Linked DNA regions of Lytechinus pictus. The protein of the gene in region 3 binds, or shares a complex with, the protein of the main gene of each other region. Links are inferred from orthologs where the notes say so. Each region holds a gene or a part of one and is shown on either strand. Other genes may lie near its edges. The genes, in order: condensin complex subunit 2-like, condensin complex subunit 3-like, structural maintenance of chromosomes protein 2-like and condensin-2 complex subunit D3-L-like.

Region 1 (7,338 bases), on a different chromosome or scaffold from region 3:
CAGCACGCACTTCCAAGACGGTCCCTGAGACATGAATTTAGGGAAAATCCCAAAAGATGCAGCAAATGCAGAATTTTTATTGGTCAAATTTTGGAGGGCGCCGCCCCCAAATCAAACTTAGCTCGCTCACACGCAATCCTGGTGACGTCATGGTGACGGGTCGCGTGTGCAAAACTTTGAATTTCCCCATTGACTTTATACACATACAAACTCTGCAGTTCATGTGGAATACAAGGACAAAGTACGATATTTTCCCATTCAAAGAACAAGTAGAGGTAAGCCATTCGAAAATATAGAATACTAAATAATTACTGACAAATAATTACCGATCCTTTTAATGCCAAATATATCATAGCTACCTGAAATAACTCAATTTAGGGTGAAATTATCAGTCAAGAGGGATGCATTATTGGGGCTTCGTAGGATCAACGGACGCGCTCGACGCACTCGCAATGGTATGTAGGGATTTTGATAGAGCAAATACCGAATATACCGTTGTCCCTACTTTTAACTTGATTTTTCTCTGTTTTTTGGCAATTAATGCCAAGAGGGAATATTAATTTGCATTTTGGTCGCGTTAATTTTCAAAAATTTTATTCATTAAAGACAAAAATTGAAGAGCCCCGACGGGGGGATTTTGCATTGCAAGTCCCCTAATGGTGGCTGCACGCTAGCGAGCCGTCTGTGTACGAGGAGAAATAAAAAAAATAAAAAAATGTTTAAAAACTCCTCGAAACAGACGGCTGCCAGCTGTCTAAAACTGCAGGTGCTAACAGAAAATTAAATGCCTGGGACTGATGATTAAATCCGACACCCGGCCCAGCCCAGGCCAGTCGCTGCGCGGAAATATAAATACATCTAATATTGTGCATCGTCAAGTTATAAGTAGACTATTCCAGTTACATTTAAAAGCGTTTCATTGAATTTTATTAAAAAAAAACTTACGTCGTCGTGTTGCATTTTGTCTGACAAAGCACCAATTCATGAATTTATCTACAAAACTCAAAAGTACAGAATCCGTGGCAATCACGTCGGCTCGCACATGTCACGTCGCAATTTTGCCAAATCTATGGTATCACTAATAGAAAAATGAATTGGAAAAAAAATACGTTATTGCCCCCATAATCCTTTTCACTCTCAAAAGTTAAAAGAAGGTCATTATTCAAAGACAAATTAAACAATGAAGGCACCTTTAATTGTTGCCTTAAACTGTCAATTTCATAAGTAAAAGAAATTCTTTTAATGGGGCGACAACATGCATTAGCAAGTTTACTTATTTTTGTAAAATTAGTGTTTTGATGGCAGCTAGCCGTTTCAGACCACTGAATGAGTAGTGAAAGCGGTTCCCGATCATGCTGGCCCATGGGCCCTGCAGTGGCTTCTGATATTTTTTCGCTTTTCAAGTCAAAATATATCTCCACACGCTTTAATTTGAGATATTATACGTCATTTTCATGATTACTAAAAGTGCTTAAAATGTACCGATTTTATGTCTAAATATAAAATACATTTCAACTGACTCCCGCTTCGCGCACTCTCGCCTTCAGTTTTTCCAGGCTGGAGATATTTCTATCTCAATAAAAAGAGTAAAATTCACAGAGCAGAATTTTTCTTTTTTTTTAAACAAGTGCACACCAAGTTACCAATAATGCCTATAGCATTTCCATTTATTTGAAAGCAGGATAAGAGAGCATTGCACATTAAATGCCTTGCTCACAGGCATCGATGTGCCGCGGCCGGGGATCGAAACCGGGACTTTTTTTATGTATAGCCAGGCGCCTTAGACCACTCGGCCACGGCACCTTCAGCAGAATGCTGAAAATTTGATCAAAATCGGATAACAAATAACAAAGTTATTGAATTTTAAATATTTGAATTATTCCGGTGAAACTATTCTAGGCATGTCTTTATAAATATTCATTAGGTGGGCTGATGATGTCATATCCCCCACTTGTTCTTTTGTATTTTATTATATAAAATTAGATTTATTCAAATTTTTCTACCAAGAACTCAAACAATTGGATTGACAACTGATTAAGTGCATTAGTTATTTATTGCCGCAACTTATTTCATCATAATGCAGACACATCATTTACACATGTATGAAAAAATGAAACATTTATGATTTCATGTAATTACAAAATAAAAAGGAATGTGACATCATAAGCCCATCATATAACTGTTTTCACAAAATAGTGATAAATTTTAAAATTCAATAACTTAAATCGTTATAATTGTTATCCGATTTTGATAAAATTTTTAGCATTTTGCTTTGTGAATTTTACTCCATTTATTCAGATATAAATATTTTCAGCCCGGCCGGACCATCCCTTTAATGATTTAATTAGATAAATATGTTCAGTCCTAAAAATAGTCTTTAAAATGTTAATTTACATGTCTGAATATCAAAAATCTACAACTTGCACTTCGCGCCCGAGTATATGTGGATGGTGTTCTTCATAAATGAAGCGCTATGTTTGCTATCGCAAGGTTTGATTAGTAGGATACTTCTCTTGGTTTTACATTGCTTATATGTGCTTAGAATTTCTTTGTTTTTAGGTCTCAAGGTCTCGATCTATTAACCAAAAATTCAACTCGCGGCGCCGCATTATCATTATTATAATTATTATTATTATTATTAGTATAGTAGTAGTAGTAGTAGTCAGGCGCGGATCCAGGGGGGCACAGGGGGCACGTGCCCCCTTTTATTATTTATTATTATTATTATTTGAGATCACGCGCTCACATTCTTCATAAGGCTATAAGGTGTAGTTAAAACACCATGGCCCGTATTTTGAACTCGAGTTTAAATCAATCCCTGGTTTAAAGTTGTGGTTTAATATAAATATATATTTACTCATTCGACACCCCAATTGTTCACAATTGCCTGAGAATGGCAACGGAATTATTTTCCTTTGTAATGAATGCAAAATGAAACAAAATATTAAACATAAGAAATTCATAATATAAAGATAATTTTTGACTCCCATAATTTTAGCACATCGGTAGAGTTGGACCTTGGTCTAAATTAAACCTGACTTGGAAATACGGGCCTACAGTCTTTATATACATAGGACTGCCCCCCCCCCAAAAAAAAAAGGCCTTCAAACACAAAAAAAAATCAGCTTTTAGCAGTCAATTGGGGGAAATGTGAATGAAAAATAATGTTCCGTCCCTCCTATTTGCCTTTTGTATCCCCTTCTCGTGCCCTCCACCCGCTCGATCGCTTTGCTTTCTCGCCGAGGATCTCACAACGTCACAAAAATTGTGCTCCGACCTTCAAGATTTTGCCCCCTCAAATCTTAAAGTGTTCCGGCGCGCCTGTCTTTAATGTCTTGCAACGTAACTTTAACTACTAACTATACCGTCCTTTATTCAATAAATTGAGGCAAAACATCTTAATGGTTTTAAAAATATACTTTATTGAGGGTATAGTCAGTGGAGGGATGATCAAGATATTGTGATTGGCGATGGTCAAATAAATGAATAGATAAAAAATCTGTGAACTATAGGCGCGTTAATTATTTATATTAAGCATTATGTTGTACAATTTCCATATTCAAGGATAATTTTTTTTTCATCGTTAAGTGCCAGAAAAGAAGAAAAATAGGCCTATAACTATATTACAAAAACTTTGACAAACAAAAAAGGAGTATTTTAGAAACCGGACCCCAGCCTTTAAATTGGCGGTTCATCTATCACCCCCCCCCCCCTCCCCCTCTAGCTCCCCTGTCATCCGCCATGTCCTGAAATAAATTTTGGTGGAGCTTTAATAGCTAAATGGTTATTTCATAGTGGAAAGACCTATACAAAAAATTTTTTCGCCCCCAATCCAAGTCATAATTTGTCTTTCCTGTCAGTCTTTATTTTCCATTTACTGCAATGTGTTTTCTCCCGTTTTTTCTTCTAATTTCCTTTCCTTCCCTTTTCCCTCAACCTTCCCCGTATCTTTCCCTTTTTCCGAATTAGGCCTGGACTTCCTTGCTCCTGCCCCATTTTTTCAAAATATGGGTATGAAATGGGATTTAAAAAATGAATTTTATTTCAAATAGGGCCTAGGCACTGAAAGTGCGAGCGGGGCCGGGGGTCAATAATTAGGACTCGGACAAGTGTATTTTTAATCAGCGCAATTTTACTCTAGATAAGCCTGCGAATGATTGTCGACCGCTCACTGCCAAGAATTCTTAATAAAGCCCCCCCCCCCCCTTCACCTGCTTCCCCGCCCGGGGGGGGGGGGGGCGATTCGAACGAGCGCGAGCTAGCTAGCTACAGCAAGCGATCGAGCGAGCGGCGCGAGAGAGCGCATGGAGCCAAGATTATCGGCTGCGCATGCGCACCTACTCAAATGTCTTCAGCGCCATTTTCAATATTCGCAAAAGTTGTTTGTAAACAAGCCGCAAGTATTTGTCCTTATAAGTCTATTGAACATTTTATTAAGGTGAGTTTTTTTTAGCTATGTACTAGGCCTAAATTTGTAATTGGTTAGAAGGTGCGCCCGAAATTGTTATTATAGGCGTAGAATAGTAAACGTAACAAGTTGCAGTTTCTTCTAGATCTAGGCCTACTGGAATCTTACATCAGTCCCACCTATTAAATTCTGTGACTGTTAATGTTATTTAATACGAAGACTGTTCGGACAAAAAAAAACATAAATTAAAATCATCATGCTCTGGGTTTTCTTGACATACATGCATCATATATTATATCACAAATAATTATGAAGTTTTTTATTTTAATGTTGTTTGAGAGCAATTTTTAAACAATTGAGGCCTGAGGCGTGCTAAAAAAAACAAAATTAAATAAAAATGACAAAATACCGTATGGGTACTAGTATTCAACCCGGCATAATTCAAAGATTTTGACATATTCCCCAAAATATTTAGAAATGGGGAATTTATCTTAATTTCACACCTTTGTTATTTCCAGGGTAATCTGTTGTCGATATTTTCTTTGTCAATCTGTCGACTGTATGCGCGGAGGGTCGAATTATGCGGCGATGGCCTTTTGCACTGAATGGTACTAGTATTCAACCTAGTGAGGATTGATAGCAAATCTCAAAAGGGTTTAGATTGCTAAATTAGATCTAGATCTATGTAAGACTCTGGCTTTGATTAATTCCCTGTTTGGTCTCATCTCAAATGGTCTAGTCCATAGTCGGATGGGACAAGGGCAGATTGAGAGACAGGGCCATCTTTCATCGCTAGGTTGAATACTAGTACCGACGGGTTGAATACTAGTACCAAAATCCGTCGCCGTATAATTCGATCGCCCGCGCACACAGTCAACTGGTTGAAGAAAAAAATAACGGAAAAAGAATAACCAGCATTTGCTCTTGGAAATAAGACGGGTCTGAAATTCAGGTAAATTCTATATTTCTATATATTTGAGGAAACTCTCCAAACGGGTTGAATACTAGTGCCCTTACGGTACATAAGTTTAACATAATTCAATTGCCATGGCCCATGTCCATGAATCATGAAGGCATGATTGCATCATTGCAGTCAAAAATCCTGATGGGTTGACTTGGAATTCTGCAACCTTTACCGTTGCAGGAAATATTTTTTACACCGGCAGTGCAGAACAGAGGCAGAGGAAACAATCTAAAAATTTCTTGAAACGATCAAGACTGGATGTTTGGAGTAAATTTTTCACTCAAACAAGAGTTGTAAAAAAAATGTAAATTAGACTAGGCCTAAGCTAAGTCTAAGTTAGATCAATGGTCATTTTGCCTCCGACGAAGATTCTGCTAGGATCGAAAGCTTAGGCCCCTTTTTGACTTTCTAAGTTAGATCGACTTAGACTAGAGAGAGAAATGACCGAGATAATCTGAGATTTTTGCCTTTTTTTCATGTTTTTGCAATTTTGTGGCGTGTCGTCTGTCGTCCGTCCACAATTTCAAAATGCTCCTTCGCCATTTCAATTCTGTTTGCTTTATATAAAACTCATTAAATATGCTAATTTATATGCATTTTTCAAAATTCACAAAAAATGCTTCTTTATTTTTTGACCGATTTTGATTTTTTTGCTTCCATCTGGTAGAGCTTCATGAGGTTCACTAAACTTCTACACAGAATTTTTAAATTTGGAGTAGAAAATTATGCTAATTTATGCGAAATTAACTCATGCATATTTTTTAAAATTCACATAAAATGCTTCTTCTTCTTTATTTTTTGACCGATTTTGATTTTTTTCTTCCATCTGGTAGAGCTTCATGAGGTTCACTAAACTTCTTCACAGAATTTTTAAATTTGGAGTAGAAAATTATTTATGCTAATTTATGCAAAATTCATAAATCACAGAAAATGCCTCTTCTTTATTTGTTGACTGAATTTCAAAACGCTTCTTGTTCATCATTTAAAGTCTGATTTCAATTATGTTTGCTTTATATGATAGCATTAGGTGGGGGATTTAAAACTTCTACACAGAATTTTGAAACTCATAAAATATGCTAATTTATGCGTATTTTTCAAAAAATTCTAATAAAATGCTTCTTTAATTATCGACCGATTTTGATTTTTAGAATTTTGAAATTTTCAGTAGAAAATTATTCATACCAATTTATGCAAAATGTATTCATAAATCACAGAAAATTCCACTTCTTCATTTTTGTTCCATCTGAGAGCTACATGAGGTTCACCAAGGTTCTACACAGAGTTAAGAAATTTTGACTAGAAAATTATTTATGCTTAATTTATATGAAATTTATTCATAGATCACAAAAAAATGCTTCTATGTCATTTCTTCATCAATTTCAATTCTATATCCTCAATTTATGTCACCAATGTAATTCACTACAGTGTCAACTGGGCTGAAATTAAAATTGTGTTAAAGGAGAATAAAACCCTTGAAACCAGCTGAATCCATATCAAAGAGAAAAATCAAAGAAACATATTGTTGAAAGTTTGAGCAAGATTGAATGAATAATAAGAAAGTTATGAGCATTTGAATATTGAGATCACTAATGCCATGTAGATCCTCCCATTGGCAATACGACCAAGATCTGTGATGTCACACACGTACAACTCCCTCATTACTTTAGTACTTATTTCACTTATATTCTCATTTTTATAGAGTCTATCACAAGGTGAGGTGTTCTCTTTATGAGAGGACAAGTACAGAGGTTTCACAACATTATATCATTGATGAATCGTTTGTCATATGATTAGAATGAGCAAAAAGAGATGTTTTGGGGTATATTTTCAGTGTCCAAAAGGGGAGAGTTGTTCATCTGTGCCATCATAGATCTTGGTCGCATTGTCAATGGGAGGATCTCCATAGCATTTAGTGATCTCGACGTTCAAATGCTCATAACTCTTCTATTGCTAGTCCTATTTTACT
Region 2 (7,558 bases), on a different chromosome or scaffold from region 3:
ACAACCATTTAAATGTTGTAATTGTAACCTTGTTTATGAAAGGAATCAGACTTGGTATTCACTTAAAAGGACAAGTCCACCCCGACAAAAAGTTGATTTGAATAAAAAGAGAAAAATCCAACAATCATAACACTGAAAATTTCATCAAAATCGGATGTAAAATAAGAAAGTTATGACATTTTAAAGTTTCACTTAATTTCACACAACAGTTATATGCACATCCTGGCCAGGATGCAAATGAGGGGACTGATGACATCACGCACTCACTATTTCTTTTGTATTTCATTATCTGAAATATGAAATATTCTGATCTTCTCACCCATGTCATTTGAAATCGAGCTTTATTCCTCCCTGAACTTGTGGAATTAACATTGTTTTAACATTATGTAGTTCAGTCAAGTTTTACATTATTGTCAATTCTGTATAAATTGAAATATTGTATAATTCAAACAATAAAAAACAAAAGAAATAGTGAGTGATGGACATCATAGACTCTCGCATTTGCATATCACTGAGTTGTGTATATAACTGTTTTGAGAAAAATATGCGAAACTTTAAAATGTCATAACTTTCTTATTTTACATCCGATTTTGATGAAGTTTTCAGTGTTGTGCTTGTTAGATTTTTCTCTATTTATTCAAATCAACATTTTTCTGGGGTGGACTTGACCTTTAAAAAAAAAATAGCAAGCATATCCTGGGGACCTAATCTGGGTCCCAGAGTTGTGATTGATCCAATCACCCTGAATTATATGGCAATCCAGAAATGTCATAACTTTTACTACCAGAAATGTGCACGATGTCCTTTGGTAACAAAGTGGAGGGACACTAAGATGTCAAGACAACAATGAATGTATGAGTAAACATATCGAGAAAACATTTTGAACAAATATGTGGGTGTTGCTGGCTTTCCATAGTTGAGGTTGATTGGATAGCATCTCTTTTAAAGAAGGACTCCTGGTGGGTGTTTCATAAAGCTGTTCGTAAGATAAATGACTTTACGAACGACTGGTGATCCTTTCTTGTGCTCTGTGATATCCCTATGTAATTGAGTTATGACCTAAGAACATGTGTAAAGTCGTTCGTAACTTTACGAACAGCTTTATGAAACACCCACCTGGGCCCCGTCTTACAAAGAGTTACGATTGATCCAATCAATTGTAACTCTATGGAAATCCATCATTGTGTTAATTTTTTCTACAGGAAATTGCACAATGTCCTTTGTAAACAAAGGAAAACACACCAAATTGTCAAGAAAGCAATGACTTTATGGATATACATTCATATCTAGAACAATCTTTGAATAAACATGCATTTCATATGTTGACTTTGCTGGCTTTCCATAGTTGCAATTGATTGGATCAATCACAACTCTTTCTAAGACGGGCCCCTGGTATGACTTACTCTTCATTCAGTAGATCAAAGTCCTCCACCAATCCCGAGACGGGAACCTTCTCGAAAATGGTCTTCAGGGCGAGCTCTGCGGTAGCGCAGGAGTTCTCAACATCCAAGCGCTTGAGAAGATCAATGGCATTACCATCAAAGGCTCTAAGCCAGCTCTGAAGCATCTTACCAGAGCAGATGTCCTTGACAATGTCTAGGTTACAAAGATAACATGGTTGACAATGAAGTTTAAAAAACTATTCTGCAATATCCATTTCTTATGAGGGCTTTTAATCAATTAACTATGTACGAAAGATTTTGTTTGTGTTCACGCAAGTCCTAATTATGGATTTCATTAGGGCATGCATGAAGCAGTTCAATTCCTGGGGAAATTTTGGTATTTCCCGCTCTGGTTGGAAACACTGGGAAATATTTCAGATGTACAGGGAGTGCATGTACAAGGAAATGCTAGAATATGCTGAGAGACAATGCCTGAAAATATTCAAGAAGTATAGTTTGTAGTATTTCCCTGTATTTCCAACTATTTTCCATTTTCCTCAAAGACCAGCAAAGGCAGTATTTACCGGAGTTTGCCAGTATTCACCGTCCCAATTTCCAAATCTGGCCAACCCTGATCAAAAATTTTACAAAATCTCGCACTACGTATGGTATTAAATGTGGACCAATTGTCTCCTTCAAATGATTTGTACAAATTCGTCTCGTTGCATTGTTTCAGGTGTCTTCGTTTGCTTTTAAAGTTCAGATTTACCCGGATCGTTGTCCAGCGAGAGTTAGAATTAGTTGTTGAGAGTTCCCACACTTCTGGATTCATCATTTCCAAGAAAGCAAACGTTCTGTGGTGATAGCTGTGTTACGATTTTCTGCTTGCACTTCAATTATTCGTTGCTCCTGCTTTTTGGCTCTAAATCTACCTTTTTTACAATTTGTGACTTTCAATACTTGGAAATCATAATACTCTTTCTGCTTCCAGAATATATTCTGTGCTGTTTTGTATCATTGTGGATTTATTCTTGGGACTTTACCATACTTTGGATATCATCAATTCGACATTATGTGACCCTGAGAACGATGTATTGGACACACCTAGTCCCATACACACTTTTGGATTCGCAAACCGAGCTAATCCTTCGTTGTTATATTTGTCTACCCTCGTAACACCAGGTAACATATTATCATCTTGTGCATGTTTAACTATATGAATTCAACAATATCCTCTTCTTCATATGATACTGAAGCTTCATAATGACTAAATCAAAACATTGCACGAAGATAAAAACTAATTCCTGCCATGGAACCATTGGTTCGGACGACTTTAGATGTAAACTACCAAAGCATATAACAATCTCAAGTATTGACGCAGTTCTTTCACATCTACTGATTCATGATATTACTGATGCTATTTTAGATGATGAACTTGTGGACTATCTTACATCTGAATTGGGGTCTATTTATCCTAATTTAAACCAGGATATAGCCCGCCATTTTAGTATCATATCTCTTCAAAATGGCCGCCCCAAACGTCCAGAAAGCTACAAGCCGAGCGTTAGGCAACACCATGACAACAGTTGCCAAACTGATGTAAGCGTTGCCATTAGCAACCATTATACGGAGCCCGAAACTAATCCTATTGAAGGGAGGTGCGAAACGGATTATCCTCCCTTGACCTCCAAAGTTTCTAATCCAATACATCGGGATGAATGCCCAGTGTTGGTGGAACCCCCATGTAATTACCCAAACACAAAGGATTCTATGGATGATTCACAACCCACCGAGGATTCCCCCGTTCTCGACTCTTGTGCCGAGCATTGCTCATCGTCAAATGATTCTCATGCGCAGACAGCAACTATAACTTCCAATGTTAATCTTCGTGAAAAATTGGATTATCTTGCACATGAGTTCAAGCAATTCAAATCCCTTGTAAATAGCTTGCTTGAAGCTATTCAATCTAGTCATGCACAGATATTTAACAGCCCCAATGAAAACACTTCTTGTCTTTCAAATGACCATCCTTCAGATGACCATCCTCAAAAAGACCCACCTCCCGTTCCAGTACCACTAACCCACAGTGGGAATGACGAAGCTTTCCGAACATCATAAGATTTCGATAAGCAACTTCATGATTACCGTTACAAACATAGTGTGAGATTTACTCATGAGTCTCATACCAGTGAGAATTTAAATTGTATTGAATCTGATCGTGTATTCGTTTCCGATGAGAAAATCAATACCCTTGTGATTGGTGATTCGATAATTAAACATCTTAAACCATTGTCAATGTCTAATCACAAGAATCGAGTCTACTGTAAAACTATCCCTGGTGCCAGAGTAGAGAATGTCTTCGAACATGCCCATCATCTTGCAAATAAATACCATGCAAAAGTAGTTATTCTTCATGTCGGAACCAATAATTTGATTAACGCTGATCCTAGCATGTTAGTTGTACAGATTGAATCTCTTGGCGATCAGATTTTAGCTAACTGTTCTACTGTTTCAACAATTGTCTTGAGTTCCATCATCCCTCATAAGACCTTTCAAAAGGAACTTGAATGGAAAACCTACGAGGCAAACTAGCTGCTTCACCAGATGGCACTGCGAAGGAACTGGAAGTTTATTGAACATAGATCCTGAAAATCATCTCGCCGCAGATGGCGTCCACTTGAACGCTGAAGGCGCTAGACTGTTTGGTTGTGCAATTTCTTCCCATATAATTGACACTCCAAAAACTCAGATTGAATCCTCTGCCACTCCACATCCTTCCTATACAGGATGTTACAACTGTGGTGAACTCAACCATAAACAGAGAAATTGTAGATATGAATCAAAATTACAGTGTAACTCTTGTTCTCAGTATGGCCACAAAGCCAAGTTTCATCGTTTCAACCAAAATTTGTAATTAGTTGGCAAAGAAGATTTTGCCGTTAATGAGCATCTATCCTCCCTCATATGCTCATCTCATAATATGACTTCAAACACATCTGTAGATTGTGATCCTTCACAGTCTTCAAACACATCTGTAGATTGTGATTCTCCACAGTCTTCAAACACATCTGTAAATTGTGAGTCTTCACAGTCTCTTATACATGACTTTAAATATAAAATTAGAAGTTGTTCTGGTTTGAAATTAGCCCATATAAATACATGCAGTCTTTACCCGAAGATCGATGAAATGAGATATCTACATATAACACTTGATTTAGATATTCTGTGTATATCGGAAACCTTGCTCAATGATAAGATCGTAGACCAGTTCATCGCTATTGAAGGCTATGATATAATAAGAAAAGACAGAATTGATAAAAGAGGTGGAGGTGTTTGCATTTATGCTAAAAAATCATTAAATATTATTGATAGATGTGACCTGCTTACTGACTCTACTATTAAAATGGCTCTCATTGAAATTAAATGTAAATCTACAAATATTTTTACCTGCTGCATGTATCGTCCACCTAACACAGACATCGATTTCCTGAATCATTTTTCCAATGTCTTAAAAAAAATTATGATGGATGATAAAGAGTTGATAATTCTCGGCGACTTTAATGTTGATTACCTCAGTGGAAATAATACAATAATACATTCCATTGAATGTGTATTCCCACTACAGCAGCTTATTAAAAAGCCAACTCGTGTTACTGCACATTCGTCCACTTGTATTGACCTAATTCTTTCCACTATACCAAATTCCCATACTACTAGTGATGTATGTGAAATATCACTCAGTGATCATTTCATGATTTTTACTTGTGTTGACTTTGATTTCAAACGTTCTGGTCATAAAATGATAAGCTTCCGAACATATAATGAATTTAATTTGGATGACTTTTTAAGCGACATATCCAAATGTAGTCGTCTTATGAATGATTTTATTCCCGAAACTAGCACGACATGTGACGATATTTGGCTTTCTTGGATCAATGCATTTTTAGGCATTTGCAATAAACATGCTCCTATTAAATGTTCACGAGTTAAAAACAGATACAATCCTTGGATAACGTCAGAGTTGTTAAGTCCATAAACAAAAGGGACTTTTTAAAACGCAAAGCTAAATGTAACCATTCTTTCGAAGATTATCGTAAGCAACGTAATTTTGTGACCAGTACTATTCGAAAGGCTAAGGCTGAGTATTTCAGTACGGTATCTTATGAGTTTAATAATAACCCTAAAAAACTGTGGACTAAATTAAATCGAGTCACTGGCAATTCCAAGTTCTTGAGTGACATTAATAACGATATTACTCCTGATGATTTTAATGATTTTTTATTAATGTTGGTCAAAATATTACTAAAAGTATTTCCCATGACCCTCTATGTTGGAATAATCCACCATGTCCACATGAATTCAAGTTTTGTGAATGATGTTTTAAACTGTTTGAATGATTTACCTAGTAGAAGCAACATTGATGTGTTAGGAATTGACTGTAAATTGTTAAATGTTGCTGCCCCATACCTAACAATGAGTCTAACCAATATCTTTAATTTCTCACTGAAAAATGGGTTTATATTTGATGATTGGAAATATGCGCGGGTTACCCCAATCTACAAAGGAAAGGGAAACAAAGATGTTCCTTCCAACTATAGGCCAATTTCTGTTGTCTCACATTTAGCCAAAATAATGGAAAAACTGGTACTCAAACAATTCATGTCGTACCTAATGGATCATGATTTTATCACAGTGGAACAGTCGGCATTCTTAAAAAATCACTCAACCATTACTTGTCTACACAGAGTTATTGACGATTGGCTAGAAGCCTTGAATGATCGTGAAGTGGTTTCGGTATGTTTCTTAAAAATTTCGAAGTGCTTTAATGCTATTTCTCATGATCTATTAATATCTGAACTACAATATCATGGTATTCATGGAATCGAATTACGATGGTTTCAAAGTTACCTCAATGAAAGAAAGCAATCTGTTTATTTTAATGGTAAAATGTCAAAATTAGGCAAAGTAAAAATAGGAATTCCCCAGGGTGGGGTCCTTGGCCCCACCCTGTTTCTCTTATATATCAATGATATAATCCAAAGAGTAAACGCTGGTTCATGTAGCATATTTGCTGACGATGTTGCCATTTATACAACAGGTAAAGATTTAATAGAAGCTGAATCTAAATTGCAAATGTGCATCACGGAAATTGATAAATGGTACAAAAATAACAGATTGAAAATCAATTCCGATAAAACCCATGTTATGCTAATTTCGACAAAAACCAATTCAAATCCTACTGAATTGAATGTATTCTTAAATGGCACAAAACTTGAACAAGTCAGTTGTACTAGATACCTTGGTGTTAATATTGATTCTCATTTGACTTGGGATGAGCACATTAAACAGTTGACTTGTATAAAAACCTTTCTTACAAAGTGTATATGTTGCGTAAGCTTAGTAGTATGTTAAACACCCATTTACTGAATACCCTTTTCAAATCCTCCATCCAACCTGTCATTGATTATGGAAGCTCTGTGTGGGGAAATTGTTCATCGAAAAATCGTAATCTTATCAAACGGATTAAAAAAAGAGCTTCTCGTGTAGTCACTAAGAATTATGGTGTACGTGATATTAGTGTTTCAAAATTATTTAAAGATTTAAAATGGCAAGACTTTGAGATGCAAAGATATTATTTCATTAATGTACTTATGTATCGTTGCATACATGGCTCTACACCACTCAGACTTTGCAATGAAATAGAAATGTTTTATGACAGACATGGTTTTAATACTCGTAATGCTGATTCTTTAAATGTCGTCCCGCCCAAACCAAATACCGAACTTTTCAAACAATCCTTCAAATACTCAGGTGCAAAATCATGGAATTCTCTCCTAAATGAATTACAAAATCAACAAACCCTTAACTCGTTCAAGAGAAATTATAAACAAAAATATTTTTGAATAAGATTGATATTACTCTTTAATCAGATGGGGTTTTTTTTACAATGAAAAGAATAATTATGTTTACTTTTTAAATTATATTTGATATGTTTGTCATATTAATGTTTTGAGTTTGGTTCAATATTCCTCTTCTCATTATTCTTCAATTTCTTGTTTCATTTCTTTCTGACTCCCATCCCCTCTATTTTCGCTCCATCCCTGGAGTCGACTATTGCTCAATCCTCCGTCGTTTCTATTTCTCTGACATTCAAACAACTGTTTCTACTTTCAAAC
Region 3 (6,963 bases):
TATAACACATAAGAAATTGAACTGATATCGCAATTTTTTAAAAGTAAATTTGCCAAGAACACCACAAAGAGTTTCTGCACCAAAAATTAGAACATTTGGAGCTTTATTTAGGGAAATAGAGGACAAATTATGATTTTGCATACTAATTATTTGTAAATTAGCATAATCAATAGCAATTTGCAAGAAATAAATTACAATACAATTTTGTAGATTATATCCCACACAACCTCCATGCCAATTTTTGACGCGATCGCACGATCAACAGCCGAGATCTTTATGATCTCCCAAAATACCATGGCCTAGATCTATATAGGGTTAAGATTAAAATAGAAAATTCCCACAGATTTTATTTTTTTAAAGACTATCAGTGAACTAGAACTGGACTGTTTTCATTTTGCTTAGGGCTTATTTTGGGATATTCCATTTATCCTCTCTTAAAATGAAATATTTTGGTCTCGGGTCAAAGAAATGGCTGTGCCTTCAAATTACTTTTTTTTTTTTTCTTTTCTTTCTACTTTTCATTCATATCAACCATGTATCCTAGCATGAAACTGATTCTAGATTAAAGAACGAATAACATACTGTTATCTTTATTCCCTTCAAATCAACTGTAAATCAATTTTCATAACAAATTTAAATTTCAATGGAAAATCCATAGAAATGTGTGTAGATTTTGTAATATTCTAATATGGATTTGATCATGAAAGTTCATATCATTGATAAAGGTTGCAGTTGATGGCCAAAAATTTTGAGGTAAATTTTCCAGTGTATTGAGAACAGTTGAATTCCTCAAAATTGCTATTGATTGTGCAGGGATAATAGTTTTTGTGAAAACGACCCCATGATATCATTACCTGTCTTGAGACTGTGAATTCATCAAAGCTGTCATATCCTACTGGACTCTGCTTCTTGTCTCTGTTGTCAAAGACTATTGTGACAGTTGCTTTTGTGACACCGGCTTGGCCTCCCTTGTACACCAGTTCTTGTAAGCTGCCAGCTCGAACCTAGTACAACAAAAAGATGGATCAATGAATCAATCATATACAGTACCATACAGATGGGGGGGGGGGGCTTGGGGGAACTTGTCCCCCCTAAAAAAAAAATAATAAAAAAAATAAAATAAAAAATCACCGCCAAGAAAAACAGATAAAGGAAAAGAAAAAAGAGAAGGGTGAAATCGCAAATTATTTTCTGAATTTATTATGTCGAATTTTATCACAGACTATTGTATAGAAAATGTCGAAATTTTTGCTCACTCGCAACTATATTTTAAAAATAAATCTTGCCCGTTACACAATATCTCAGCTCAATACGACAGCAATCATAGACAGCACGACCCAGATGACAATCAGCCTTTTATTGAATTTTATTGAGGCCATATATTCAAAATTCTCACATTTTGCCAAAAATGGGTTATCAGAAATGAGGATACAAGAATCTTAAAAAGTAATACATGGCTTTCGGATATATCACACTCAAATTCTTGAATAGTTTTGTTTCTTTTTTTTATTGACTCTATTCTTGTTATTATTGAGACAGCAAGTCGTGAAAAATAGATGGTGAACTACATGTAGGGGAATTGAGGCCACTGAATCTATTTTTAGCACTCTCAATCCCCCAAATTGCCATCTAATATGTCCCGAAGGAGTAAGTGAAAAAAAAAAAATGTCCCCATACAAGGACAGTCTCAATTCATCAAGACATGATTTGTCTTGGTTTATGAGGATATCCTTGTTTTCTGGGACAATCCCAATTTTTCGACCAGCACCTCTACTGGTTTGTGAGGCGCGAGGACATGCATTCCTCATTTTCAGACTATATAGTAATAGTGCGCCTTTGTTTGCATATATCGCGATATGCATGCTGTCGTCTTGGCGAAAGACAAAGAAAACAAGATGGCGACATAACCGCGGTGGCAAGTTTTCCTCGTCTTTTCATATTTTTCTCGGTTTTTTTAATGAATTCTTGTTTAAAAATGAAATCAATATCGTAGAAATGTCGGAAATGAAGTTGTATCTCATTTACATGATTTAGGGCTAGGCCCACTCACACGTATTGCGAGGTTAGTATTAGTATACTAACCTCGCACCACGAACCGCGTTTGGAAGTGGAAGTGGGCTAGGCCTAGATCGTTTAGAAGTAGAAATCTCGGGGGCGAAAGTTTCAGTTTTTTTCGCGGTGCACACGCGCATGAACGGGACGCAATTCCTGGCTCCGTGGAGAGTAAGCCTATGTTAGTAGAATAATTCTTATTCTCCAGGAGCCTCCTGCATGTCCTGGCTAGTCAGAAGCCCGTTTGTTTTGTGTGAGGATGACAACAAAAATCCTAGACCTTATCAAAACAAAAGTAGACAGTGAATTTTTAAGTAGACGGTGAAAAGCTAAAAAAAAGGGTGATTTTTTTATGAGGAATCTGCTTATAACATTTTTATTTGCCGCCAAGCTAATCCTCTTTTTCATCATGTCAATTCATCATTCATGGGATCTGTTTCATGTTTGAGAAGTTGTGATCTGATCGACAAATCCGGACAATGCCAAAAATCTAGGCCTAAAGTAACAAACTTAGGCTAAAATTCATAGCTTGGCATAGAAAAATCTAAATAAGGGGCCAATTATGGTCTAACGTAAATTTTGTTCAAAATTTTCATAAACGAGTGATTTGCCTATTTGTCTGGATCTCATTCAAACTCAAACTTTCAAAGAACATTCAGTTTTCACATCGAAAATAGCCTTAGTCCCACCTGTGTTAAATTGGAGATCCCCAACAAAAAACAAATCGAGTCGAGGATGTTTGACTTTCCAGAACCGTTCAATCCAGTAATTGCGTTGAAGAGAGGGTCAAATCCCTTGATTTCCGTCCTCTGTGCATATGACTTAAATCCATCGATGATTATTTCCTTGATATACATCTTGTATTCCTGAGATTTAGTCCCAAAAAATAATATTTTGAAAAGTTGTATTGCGGCACTGCACTCCGCTCCGTTCAAAGCGCCCGGTTATTTGGCGGTTGACGTCTGCGCATGCGCGAAGCTCGAAGGCAGGCTTTGCAGTTGTTGTTTATGATGTTGGGTTTTTTTGTCTTGCGCCATCACAATGATTCAAATACTAGTAAATATTTTGGGAAATTTTCTGTTCGGTCGGGTTTAAATATTTTAATAAAGTAACTAAACTCTCACCAAACACCCCCCCCCCCCAAAAAAAATGTTTAAGTTTGTGTCGGGGTTGTTTAAAATTCAAGTCCACGTACGCTGCCAGAAAACGTTGATTTGAGTTAATAAGAAAATTGTGACATTTTAAAGTTTCGCTTATTTTTTACAAAACAGTTTTCATGACAACTCATTGTGCAAATTAGGGTGTACGATGATGTCCCGCACTCACTATTTTGTTATTTCCTCAATTTGTTGTGTGAATTATACAATATTTAGGCCCTATTTCATTTGTAAGGATTTGACAATGAGAACCAACTTGACTGAACAATATGAAATGTTAAAACAATATTCGACATATGTTCAGGGAGGAATAAAAAGTTTGTTTCATGGACAATGAAGAGAAAATAAAAATATATAATCTTTAAAAAAAAAGCAAAATAAATGACGTCATCAGTCCCCTCATTTCTATACAGACTCAGAACAGGATTTTTACGTGCACGATATATCTGCACATTTTGTGAAATTAAGCAAATTTAAAGTATATTATTGACAAAATATTTTTTTTTATTAATTCCAACTGGTTATGATGAAATTCTAGTGTTCTCTTTTAAAAATTCAAATTAACTTTTGTCCTTTAAAATGATATATTAAAAAATGATGCCCTATAGTATGCAGCATAGGACTACCTATTACCTTCCTAGCTCGTTTTTATTTAAATATTATCCTATATGAAATGTAAACTTTTCTTTTTCAGATTTTGTTTCATTTATGCAAATCATATAATAATTGTGACTTTTTGTGTTAATTAGAATTGAACGCTTCTTAAAAATAATGTTCACACCAACAATATTGAGTAAAAAGAGACAAAGCATGCTGATGAAAATCGGATGCAAAATAAGAAAGTTATGGAATTTCGCTTATTTTTAAAAAGTTATGCAAAACACAGTGGTAATCATCATGGAGAATCGATATCAGTCACTCACTATTATACATTATTTCTTTTTGCAGATTTGACAATAATGATACTCTAGCTTCATCGAATTTAACATGTGTTATAAGAGTGGCAATTGTCAGGGAGAAAAAGTGAGGAGAAAATGTTTGTTAGTTATTATAACAAAAGAAATAGTGAGTCACTGAGTTAATTCGTCATCGGTACGTCATTTGGATACCGACCAGGTTGTGCATAAAACTACTTTGTGAATTAAGTAAAACACTGTCAGAACTACCTCGTTTCATATCCAATTTTTAAGATTAAACGTACTTTTAAATTATTTTTTTCTACTTTTTTATTCAAATAAAAGCTTTTTTGATTTTGTGAGGATGGTTTGCCCTTTAATCATAACAAATAAGCATATATCAAATAATTTATTTCCAAGGCGTGAATCGGGATGGAATCAGCCCCCCCCCCCCCTATTGGTGGTGGAATTTAGAAAAAAGAGAAAGAGATGCGTAAGGAAGGAGGAGAATGAGGAAGGAGGAGAAAATAGAATTATGATGAAATAGGAAGAAGACGGAAAAACCAACAGAAAATATATGATTAAAGAATCTCGAATATATGACGAAAGGAAAAATTGAATAAAATAAGATATGGGAATGACTGACAAATAAAAAAAACTCGCAGGTTTCACACTAGGATTATATTAGGTCATATGCATACAGATCACTTCAATTAAGACTGGACAACGAAAAACTTCTTGTTCCATTTCTTCCCTTGTAAATATTGACATTATTGATGCTTTCTTTTCTTTCTTTCTTTCTTTGTTTGTTTCTTTTTCTTTCTTTCTTTCTTTTTCTTTTTTTCCCTTCCTTCCTTCCCTTCTTCTTCTTCTTCTTCTCTCTCTCTCATATGATTCATCATAACATTGGAATTCTTTGCCCCTCAGTCATCAACTTCTTCAACTTCAGTTTCCTACAGTAGGCCTGTAATGTACATGTGTAGATGAATCTATCAACCCTATGATCCCTTTCTCTCTCTCTCTCCTTCTACCTATCTGCCCATTTCTCTTCTCTTCCCTGCCTCCCTCCTGTGCTTCCTCTCTCCATCTTATCCTTTGTTTCCCTTTCTACCAATCATCTTCCTTTTCACCCTGTATCTCATTCTCCTTCTCTACCCCCCTGATCCATTCTCCTTCCAAACCAATCTCCAATTCCCCCTCCACCCACATCAAACGATGTGTAATAGAGTACCGAAGTGATGACGTCACTTTTTTTTGCATTTCAGCATTTTTTATACCGTATTCTGGTAGAGCATGATGAATAACCCCCACTTCCAAAATCTGGTGAGAATCCATGGGGGCCTGAGATATGACCTGATGAATACATAGTTAGTCCAATCATAGAGCTATTCTGTAATAGCTCTATGGTCCAATTGAATTCAATGTACACGTATTATTGGCCTGGTTCCTAACATTTAGAACCAGGCCAATAATACATTGACTTCGATTGAGCTAATTATGTATTCATGAGGTCATATCTTGGGGCCCCACAGACCGATTCCTACCATATTTGGGTTGTGGCAGTTTTTCATCATGCTATACCAAAATATGGTATAAAAACGCTGAAATGCAAAAAGTGCAAATTTATGACGTCACATTTCGGTACTCTATTAACATTCCTCCACACATTAAATATTTTGAAAACCACAGTAGCTCAATAGAGGTATAAGGATTTTAAAGCTAAATTATATTCAATAATAAATAATAAACAAATTCATTCTTCAGTTTGACAAGGCAACATCTGTTGTTTTTAATTATGCTCACATTTTAGTTATCCATTCACCATGAACAGCAATGAAAGATAAAGATAACTGCACAGATCCACGATGGCATAAATGATACGATTTACAAAAAGTACACTTTAGGTATGAAGAGAATACACAAACGTTGGTTCGTAGCATTAACTTTGCTTAGAAACGTTGAAGGAATCAATCCAAACAATAAATGATGACCAACATACATTTCCTACATGGCACGCGATACATTGTCACCCAAGCTATAATCTCAAATACACTCAAAACGTGAGGGGCATGACAGCTACCAACTAAATATATTACGCAACAGTGCTAGAAAAGAAAATGTTAAGATTTTTGCCTACGCATACTGATATGGAAGCTTTATGCGTACAAAGAAAATTCAGTTCACCATAATGCATATATTTCTTTGAGTAAAAATCCTCAGAGAGAGATTGTTATGTTGCAATACAAAAGTAATTATAATGATAGCAGTTTGGTATTTTGTAAGTTGTGTAATGAGCTATATTACAGCATTAAACTGTATAAAACACATATTTCCTTGTAATAGGTAATTTGATATACTTCACTACATCTTTATGGTAAAATAAACAAATATATCGGGCTTTGAGAAAGTATAGTGGAATTATTTATCCGAGGTTGGTCTGGCAATTACTATTTTTTCCCGAGGGGCAAAGCCCCGAGGGAAATATAGTAGTTTTGCCAGTCCAACCGAGGATCAATAATTCCCACTATGCTTTCGAATGAAACGCCTGATATATTTGCTTTATATCCTACTTTTAATAATTTATAACCAAAATCTATGCGCTGAGCATGCAAAGTCCTGTTGAATTACCTACTTTTCTCCGAGCCACCGCGCCCAGCGGAACGCAGATTAGTGTCTGCGCTGACGCATCGCGCTGGACTTGCGCGCCCGGGAGAGAGAGAGCGCGCAAGCCGGTGCGCCGAGATATCCAGTTTTGTGAAATAATGACGTCAGAATATTGGTATATCCAAAAATATATCGAGGTCTGACGTCACGCAACATCATAGTTGAAATATATTCGGTCACATGATGCTACTTGA
Region 4 (7,000 bases), on a different chromosome or scaffold from region 3:
TTCAAACTTCGCTCATTTGTGCATATACAAGTGACAATGATCTATTAAGATTTTGGGTCTGAAAGTCAAATCTCAAGCTCTCTGGATTCAATCAAATGCATATATTTGCTTTTTTGAGAAACAGTTATCTGACTAGATTTTGAAGTCACAAGATCAAAGGTCTTGAGGGTTTTTTTTTTCTTTATGGAAATAAAAACTAGGAAATATATTTCTGGTATGGCAGTAGCGGAGGCATCTATTTCCAACATTCGTGGTCGAAAATTCATCTTTAGTTAGGATTAACATTGCTGTAAATCAATTTCGATTTCAACATTGTGCTACATTATATATATATGTATATATATATACTGCGTAGTAAGCGCTTGGTCATCAAGATGTTGACAAATATTGCAATAAGCTGTTTACTGAGAACGATGTAAACTTCTGTAATGTATGTGGCTTTAACACAGCCTACCAAGGTGGAGTGAGATTATTATTATATTATTATTACATGAATGACACAGTGATCTCCATTATTGCATATCATGCATGGCTGACTGTTAGCCATTTTTGTAAAGAGGACCAAATTATATCAAGAAATTCAGGAAATCTTAAGGTGATGTAGCAATTTTTTGTTTTCTTATAGTCAGAAAAGGATATTAAATGTATCAGAAATTCCTCAAATGAAAAAGCATGTGACATTTTGATTACATTTCAAGAGTTTCTCAAAATAGCAGATTTGCATGATGTAGTACAGAAAAATTTGAAAATTTTAGATACTTCTCACAGATTGACATTTTTCTTCATTATGATTACTGAGGATTTACTACATTGTATTTTGTTGTTCACAGAATTATAACATTTTCATACTTTCACTTTCGCAGCTGTTCAAGTGTCACAGTACAAACATTACTTTGGCAAAATTGGAGGTCATATTTGTACATGTTTGTTCGTCAAATATTCATGTAAATATTAAGTATTTGCAATGGTAGCAATACTCTCATTCGGGTTCTTTCTTGCCAGTTTCAATATCAAATTGATAGTACTGTTGTAAGAAACTTTATTTGTGAGGAATATTGTATGCAATGTAATATTATTGTCACAATTTAATGTATTCATGGCAGTTAATGTATTTGTATGCTTGTAATATAAATTATTGGTTCAGTGTGTGTTTAGGACTATTCATTATTTTGATATAGGATTGAATAAGGTTTTCTGTCTTAATAAGATTTTTGGGAATATGTATATATAAGAAGTTGACATACACTTAATTTTTTATCAATTAATAGTATACATGTAAAATTACTCATAAGTGAGAAGTTTCACTTAAAAATTCAGTTTTCTTCTGGTAGAAGCATTGTCGTCAGGTTACCATGGAGTAAGCATTTTGCGTGTTACTACGGATATGTGGATGTAAGAGATAGAGAGTCTGTGTGTGTGCGTGTGTGTGTGTGTGCGTGTGTGCGTGTGTATGTTCATCCAGTGTTCATCCAAGGTCAGCTGAGACAAGCCCTCCTAGAAGGAAGTTCACTTTAGTCAGATTTGTTTTCTTAAAGAAATTGAAAGTTTGCCATTATTTCAGGCAGTAGTTGCATAAGTGAAAAATTGCTTTCACTTGTAATTGATTCTAATGGGTTATGACTGAATATTTGAATGATTATGGTACCCTTCATGTAAATGGATTGCTTTAAAACACACCTGTTCATTAATGTACTCTCATTTAATATACAGTGGCCTGAAAGTTTGTGTAAGGTTAGCAATTACAACTACTTTAATGCATGCAAGGTGAATTTTACTTGTTGAATAGATTTATTTACAAAATGTTTAAGTCAACTGAATTGCAAACAGCAGATAAAGTAACACCAACCAAATTTTATGGTTGTTCTTACAACCTTTGTTGCTTGCTCTGACAGGTCCAACAAATACATAAAGAGTTTATGCATGCAAAAAGGATGCCACTTATTGTAATACCATTCAGTCCATGGTAATTACCTATTACCAAATCCAGAGGAACAAAGTATTCATGAAATTTGACTACATTAGTGAACAGGTCTGTAATGAACATCAGCATTCTTAGGACATTTCTGTGTACATAGTTTCTGTATAATTGTCATCTTTGAAATTTGATTATGCAACACATTCTACTTGCCAGCATTTTGCCCATGATCCTTACAAAAATTGTACTGTTTGTGAAATATGGCATTGTCAGTTCTACTGCATGTTAATGCAATAAAGACTTTTCAAAGTTTCATTCAAAAGTTTTACTCAAGTGTATTTTTGTCATTGGAAGTTGTGCCAATTACAGTAAAACATACTGTAAATGGGGTCAATTTACAGTAAATTACTGTAGGGAGTGTACAGTACTGGGGGTAAATTGGGAAGGTGTACAGCATTTTACTGTAGGAAGTGTACAGTACCTCACTGTAATGCAAGGGAAATTTACAGTAGTTTACTGTAATTTAACCAAATTTACAGTAGCAACAATTCTAAAATTTGGTAAATTTTACAGTAAGCTACAGCACTTTTCACGGTATTTTCCTGTAGCTAGTTCAAATTTACAGTAATTTACTGTAGGACGAAACTACAGTAGCTTACTGTAAAATAAAAATTACAGTAAATTACCGTGCAGCAGAGTTGCCAGTAATTTACTGTAAAATCTACAGTAAACTTTTTACAGTGTATTTTTTTACAGATTTGACAACTAGGACCAACTTGACTGAACCATATAGCATTAAACAATGCTAATTCCACATGTTCATAGAGGAATTCATCGTTGTTTCACTTGACAAAGAGGAGAAAATTAGAATATTTCATATTTCATATAATAAAATAAAAAAGAAATAGTGAGTGGATGATGTCATCAGTCTCCTCATTTGCATACAGACCTGGGGAGTGTTTCATCAACATTTTCATCCGACAAGTTGTCAGATCTGACATCTTTCTCTGATGTTGATTAGCTGAGAGGTACTGTTACTATGGTAACTGTCGGATAAAATGGGACTTGTCGGATAAAACGTCCGACAAGTCCTTTCATGAAACGCCCCCCAGGGGAGTGTTTCATCAACATTTTCATCCGACAAGTTGTCAGATCTGACATCTTTCTCTGATGTTGATTGGTTGAGAGGTACTGTTACTATGGTAACTGTCGGACAAAATGGGTCTTGTCGGATAAAACGTCCGACAAGTAAATTTCTTAATTTTCTTTCTTTTCTCATTTTTTATGGTGGTGATTTTTTTTGGGATCCGGCCATATGCCCCCTTCCCACTGAGCTCCCCTCTCAGTGCCCCTTCCCCCTTGTGCAAGGTGTCGCCTCAACCATCCATGCCTCAACAGAGATGTTTATGCGTGTTTATGCATATGCGCGCGCGAGTCCAGCGAACTTAAAGGAGAATGAAACCCTTGAAACCAGCTGAATCCATATCAAAGAGAAAAATCAAAGAAACATATTGTTGAAAGTTTGAGGAAGATTGAATGAATAATAAGAAAGTTATGAGCATTTAAATATTGAGATCACTAGTGCCATGTAGATCCTCAGGGCCCATCGGCAATGCGACCAAGATCTGTGATATCACACACGTACAACTCCCTCATTACTCTAGTACTTATTTCACTTTATATTCTCACTTTTATAGAGTCTATCACAAGGTGAGGTGTTCTCTTTATGAGATGACAAGTACAGAGGTTTCACAACATTATACCATTGATGAATCGTTTGTCATATGATTAGAATAAGCAAAAAGAGATGTTTTGGGGTATATTTTCAGTGTCCAAATGGGAGAGTTGTACGTGTGTGACATCACAGATCTTGGTCGCATTGCCAATGGGAGGATCTCCATAGCATTAGTGATCTCGACATTCAAATGCTTATAACTCTTTTATCGCTAGTCCTATTTTACTCAAAGTTTTGTTGATCTTATTCTTTGATTTTTCTGCTTTCACAAAAGCTAACTTGCTCCAAGAGTTTCATTCTCCTTTAAAACGTACGGTACGGCCGGCAGGCGCGCGCGCGGGAAATTTGATTGAGAAGGAAGATGGCGAAAGAACCGGAATCTAACGTCGCTGAACGCTTTGCAAATTTGGGAATTGAACTCTTAGATGAAGGTGAGACGACACTTAATGTGAATTAGGAGATCTAGCGTTAGGTATTCCTGCTTAAGAGTGATGTTGTTTTTATAATTTTATTGCAAGGTAACTTTGATTAGCTGATCTGCTCTGGAAGCTAGTGCCGCTATGCGGTACGTGCACGGCTGGCCCGCCGGCGCTCCCGGGCGACAATATTTGAATATTCCGCTCATACTCATAGGCGGATCCAGGGGGGGGGGGGGGGGGGGGGGGGCGAGGGGCCCGGGCCCCCTATTGGCGGAGCCAAATAAAAGGGGAAAGAGAGGAGAAAAAAAGAAATGGAAGAGGAGGAAGACGAGTGAATAAGATGAGGGGAATTACTAGCCTACGGTACTACTACTAGGCCCTACTTGGAAAATAAAAAGAATCTTTCATCATCATGATTCATCATGATAATGTTCATCATCATGTCACTTAAAATTTTTAGGTTCACGCTCGCATTACCTGCTGGGTGATTTTCATATCTTATAATCTTGTTCAATCTGGAGTCAAAATAACAAGTTTGGAAGTCAATAATATACTAGGCCTATACACAATCAGAGTGTCAGAGGCGCTGGTCAGAAAATTGGGATTGTCCCAGTTTTACAGCGACTGTCTCAGTTTTTAAAGCTTTCTTCACAAGAAATGTAGTAAAGTTCATTCACCTGTCAAGTGCCGACACCAATCAAGTACGCTAGTCAATGTAACAAATCAGGTTTCATAACAAGATTATTGGAAGACTGGAAGTCATGAAAAATAGACCATGTGTATGTAGACAGTGAACTGGGGGGAATTAAGTCAAGATCACTGAATCTATTTTTAGCACTCTCAATTCCTGTAATTGATGTCTTTGTCCCGTAGGGGGAAGTGAACAAAAAAAATTCCTATAAACAAGGACAGTCTCAATTTATCAAGACATGATTTGTCTTGGTTAATGAGGATATCCTTGTTTTCTGGGACAATCCCAATCTTTGGACCAGCGCCTCTACTGACAATATATTTCACCTCTGAAATTGAACTTTCATTATTTTGTGTGATTTACAAATTGATTTTTAAAAGGTGCTCTGTAAAAATATCAGTTTTATGGCCTGAATTTTATCGCAAATGTTGATTTATCAGGTAGGCCCTACCTATTATTAGGGAGACCACAAGATTTTTCTATCTCATCAACCACTTCATTAAACTGTTTGATTTTTTCAGATCTTGATAAAAATAGTGCAAAATAGAAATCTACCAAATTTCATAGTAATCCATGAATCAGTTTTTGAGTAATAATCAAATGAATTTCGAATGAAATTCCACCAAATGCTCCCAATAGGCTCTGTAGTATAATTTGTCACAACACACTCACAGCTGAAACACACGACCACACACAGAGTGCAGATATTTTGTGTGCAGTTTTGCATTGGGCTTTCTGGAGTATGGGAGGGGGGGGGGGTATTTTGAAAGCAATTCTGACACTTGATCCTGAAGGAAAGGTGAAAAATGAGTATTTCCATTGGATTTGCCATTATCAATACTACAAAAACCCACTAGTTTATAAAAATATGGTACTTTTATTCACAAGATACAAAACTTTGAACTTCCTTTTTTAATGCCACATCAAAATCATGGTAGTAACCAAATGTAAACTACATGTAAGTAGGCTATACATGTGGAGCATTTTATTCTCTTTAAGTTGATACCAAATTCATTAAATTTGGATAATAGGATCATATGTCAGAAATGCGTTGAACTTTGATTTTTCCCTCAAAACCATGACCATTTTTGGCTGTGTGAATGCGGTGAAAAGGGCGATTTTTTTTCTCTGTGTGCAGTCGCCCTACTATTATTTTCGTGTATTCCATAACATTTTCAAAATATCCCTTTTCAGGTCTGATTGTCAAAACGTATCAGCTAGCGCTGCACGCTCGCATTTTGATTGGCGAATTGTGTACGTGTCTCAATATTGATTTTACAACAAACTACTTAAAATCCCCTTTTTACCAAATAAAGAAGTTGTGACCAAAACTTTTCACTGCGATGTCATCGAGGCAGCGTTGCTCAGTCGGTTAGAGCGCATGTTTCGAATAAGATCGTAGATCTCAACATGAGGGGTTTCAGTCCCGCTCATGCCGAAACGCGTCTAACAAAAAAGTATGATGCTATAGCGTTGTGTGTTAGCGTGCCTCACCACTATTCAGTGCAGGTGTGAATGCAGTTGGAAAACACTCCATCCATCGGAAAGGACGCAAATGTTGCTCCTGTGTTACATAGGAGAGGTACAACCTATGCATGTTAACACCAATACACTATTTCGTCAAAGATTAGGGTGTTCATCCGGTGTATTGCACCTGCCGGTCCCGGCAAAATTTAGGTCAAGTACCCGATGCGTTTATGCCCATGAGGGCCCTGTTTCGTATACATCCAGATCCAGTTGCGGGGTTTGGCTGCCATTTTGGATTTTGGCCCGGCACACTTTTTTCTCGGACCCAAGACAAAAAATATTGTCATTTCATGTTGAGATATTAATTACAAGGAATAAAAAAAAAACTGTTGCCGTATTAAAATGACAAAAAAAGTATTTTTGACCCATGTATAGCCCACTCACTCAATAATGGTAGTGACTACATGTATATGAAAACTGTTAAGTAGGCTATCTTTAAGGAGCATTTAATTCTCTTTAATTTGATACAAAAAAAAATTGATAATAGCATCATATGTCAGAAATGTGTTAAACATTGATTTTTCTCCTCATAACCATGTCAATATTTGGGTGTGTGAGTGTGGTGCAAAAGGAGGAATTTCTAGCTATGTGTGTGCAGTTCCCCTCATAATGAATCAGAATTGCTGCATACATGTGCTTTCCGGGGATTCATCAAAACTGAATATAAACTTTTAACCTGTTATATATATTTTTTTCCCTTAAGGATGGGTGAA

The links.
Region 1: structural maintenance of chromosomes protein 2-like (region 3) and condensin complex subunit 2-like share a complex: the UniProt entries of both Homo sapiens proteins name them as parts of the condensin complex. The link is inferred for Lytechinus pictus from reciprocal best matches to the Homo sapiens genes SMC2 and NCAPH.
Region 2: structural maintenance of chromosomes protein 2-like (region 3) and condensin complex subunit 3-like share a complex: the UniProt entries of both Homo sapiens proteins name them as parts of the condensin complex. The link is inferred for Lytechinus pictus from reciprocal best matches to the Homo sapiens genes SMC2 and NCAPG.
Region 4: the proteins of structural maintenance of chromosomes protein 2-like (region 3) and condensin-2 complex subunit D3-L-like are in contact, whole or in part, in a cryo-EM structure (PDB 9F5W), measured with the Homo sapiens proteins. The link is inferred for Lytechinus pictus from reciprocal best matches to the Homo sapiens genes SMC2 and NCAPD3. Residues at the interface, in NP_001036015.1 of Homo sapiens: Arg112, Ala122, Asn123, Asn124, Thr125, Arg126, Leu218, Lys222, Arg225, His229, Trp940, Asn942, Ala943, Glu944, Phe948, Arg981, Met985, Arg986; in NP_056076.1 of Homo sapiens: Asp31, Met72, Ile80, Pro127, Gly128, Ala131, Phe135, Pro137, Asp141, Lys235, Gln237, Gln240, Leu1121, Asn1196, Asn1200, Pro1203.

The regions. Positions count from the first base shown.
Region 1 is NC_087256.1:27,812,126-27,819,463, reverse strand, and holds the start of condensin complex subunit 2-like, read left to right. Parts: upstream 1-4,331; 5' UTR 4,332-4,438; intron 4,439-7,338. UniProt on the Homo sapiens protein: Regulatory subunit of the condensin complex, a complex required for conversion of interphase chromatin into mitotic-like condense chromosomes.
Region 2 is NC_087256.1:26,508,733-26,516,290, reverse strand, and holds the start of condensin complex subunit 3-like, read right to left. Parts: upstream 3,006-7,558; coding exon 2,978-3,005; intron 1,597-2,977; coding exon 1,404-1,596; intron 1-1,403. UniProt on the Homo sapiens protein: Regulatory subunit of the condensin complex, a complex required for conversion of interphase chromatin into mitotic-like condense chromosomes.
Region 3 is NC_087255.1:14,793,169-14,800,131, reverse strand, and holds the start of structural maintenance of chromosomes protein 2-like, read right to left. Parts: upstream 3,019-6,963; 5' UTR 2,910-3,018; coding exon 2,742-2,909; intron 1,005-2,741; coding exon 855-1,004; intron 1-854. UniProt on the Homo sapiens protein: Central component of the condensin complex, a complex required for conversion of interphase chromatin into mitotic-like condense chromosomes.
Region 4 is NC_087250.1:11,499,333-11,506,332, reverse strand, and holds the start of condensin-2 complex subunit D3-L-like, read left to right. Parts: upstream 1-3,974; 5' UTR 3,975-4,011; coding exon 4,012-4,081; intron 4,082-6,990; coding exon 6,991-7,000.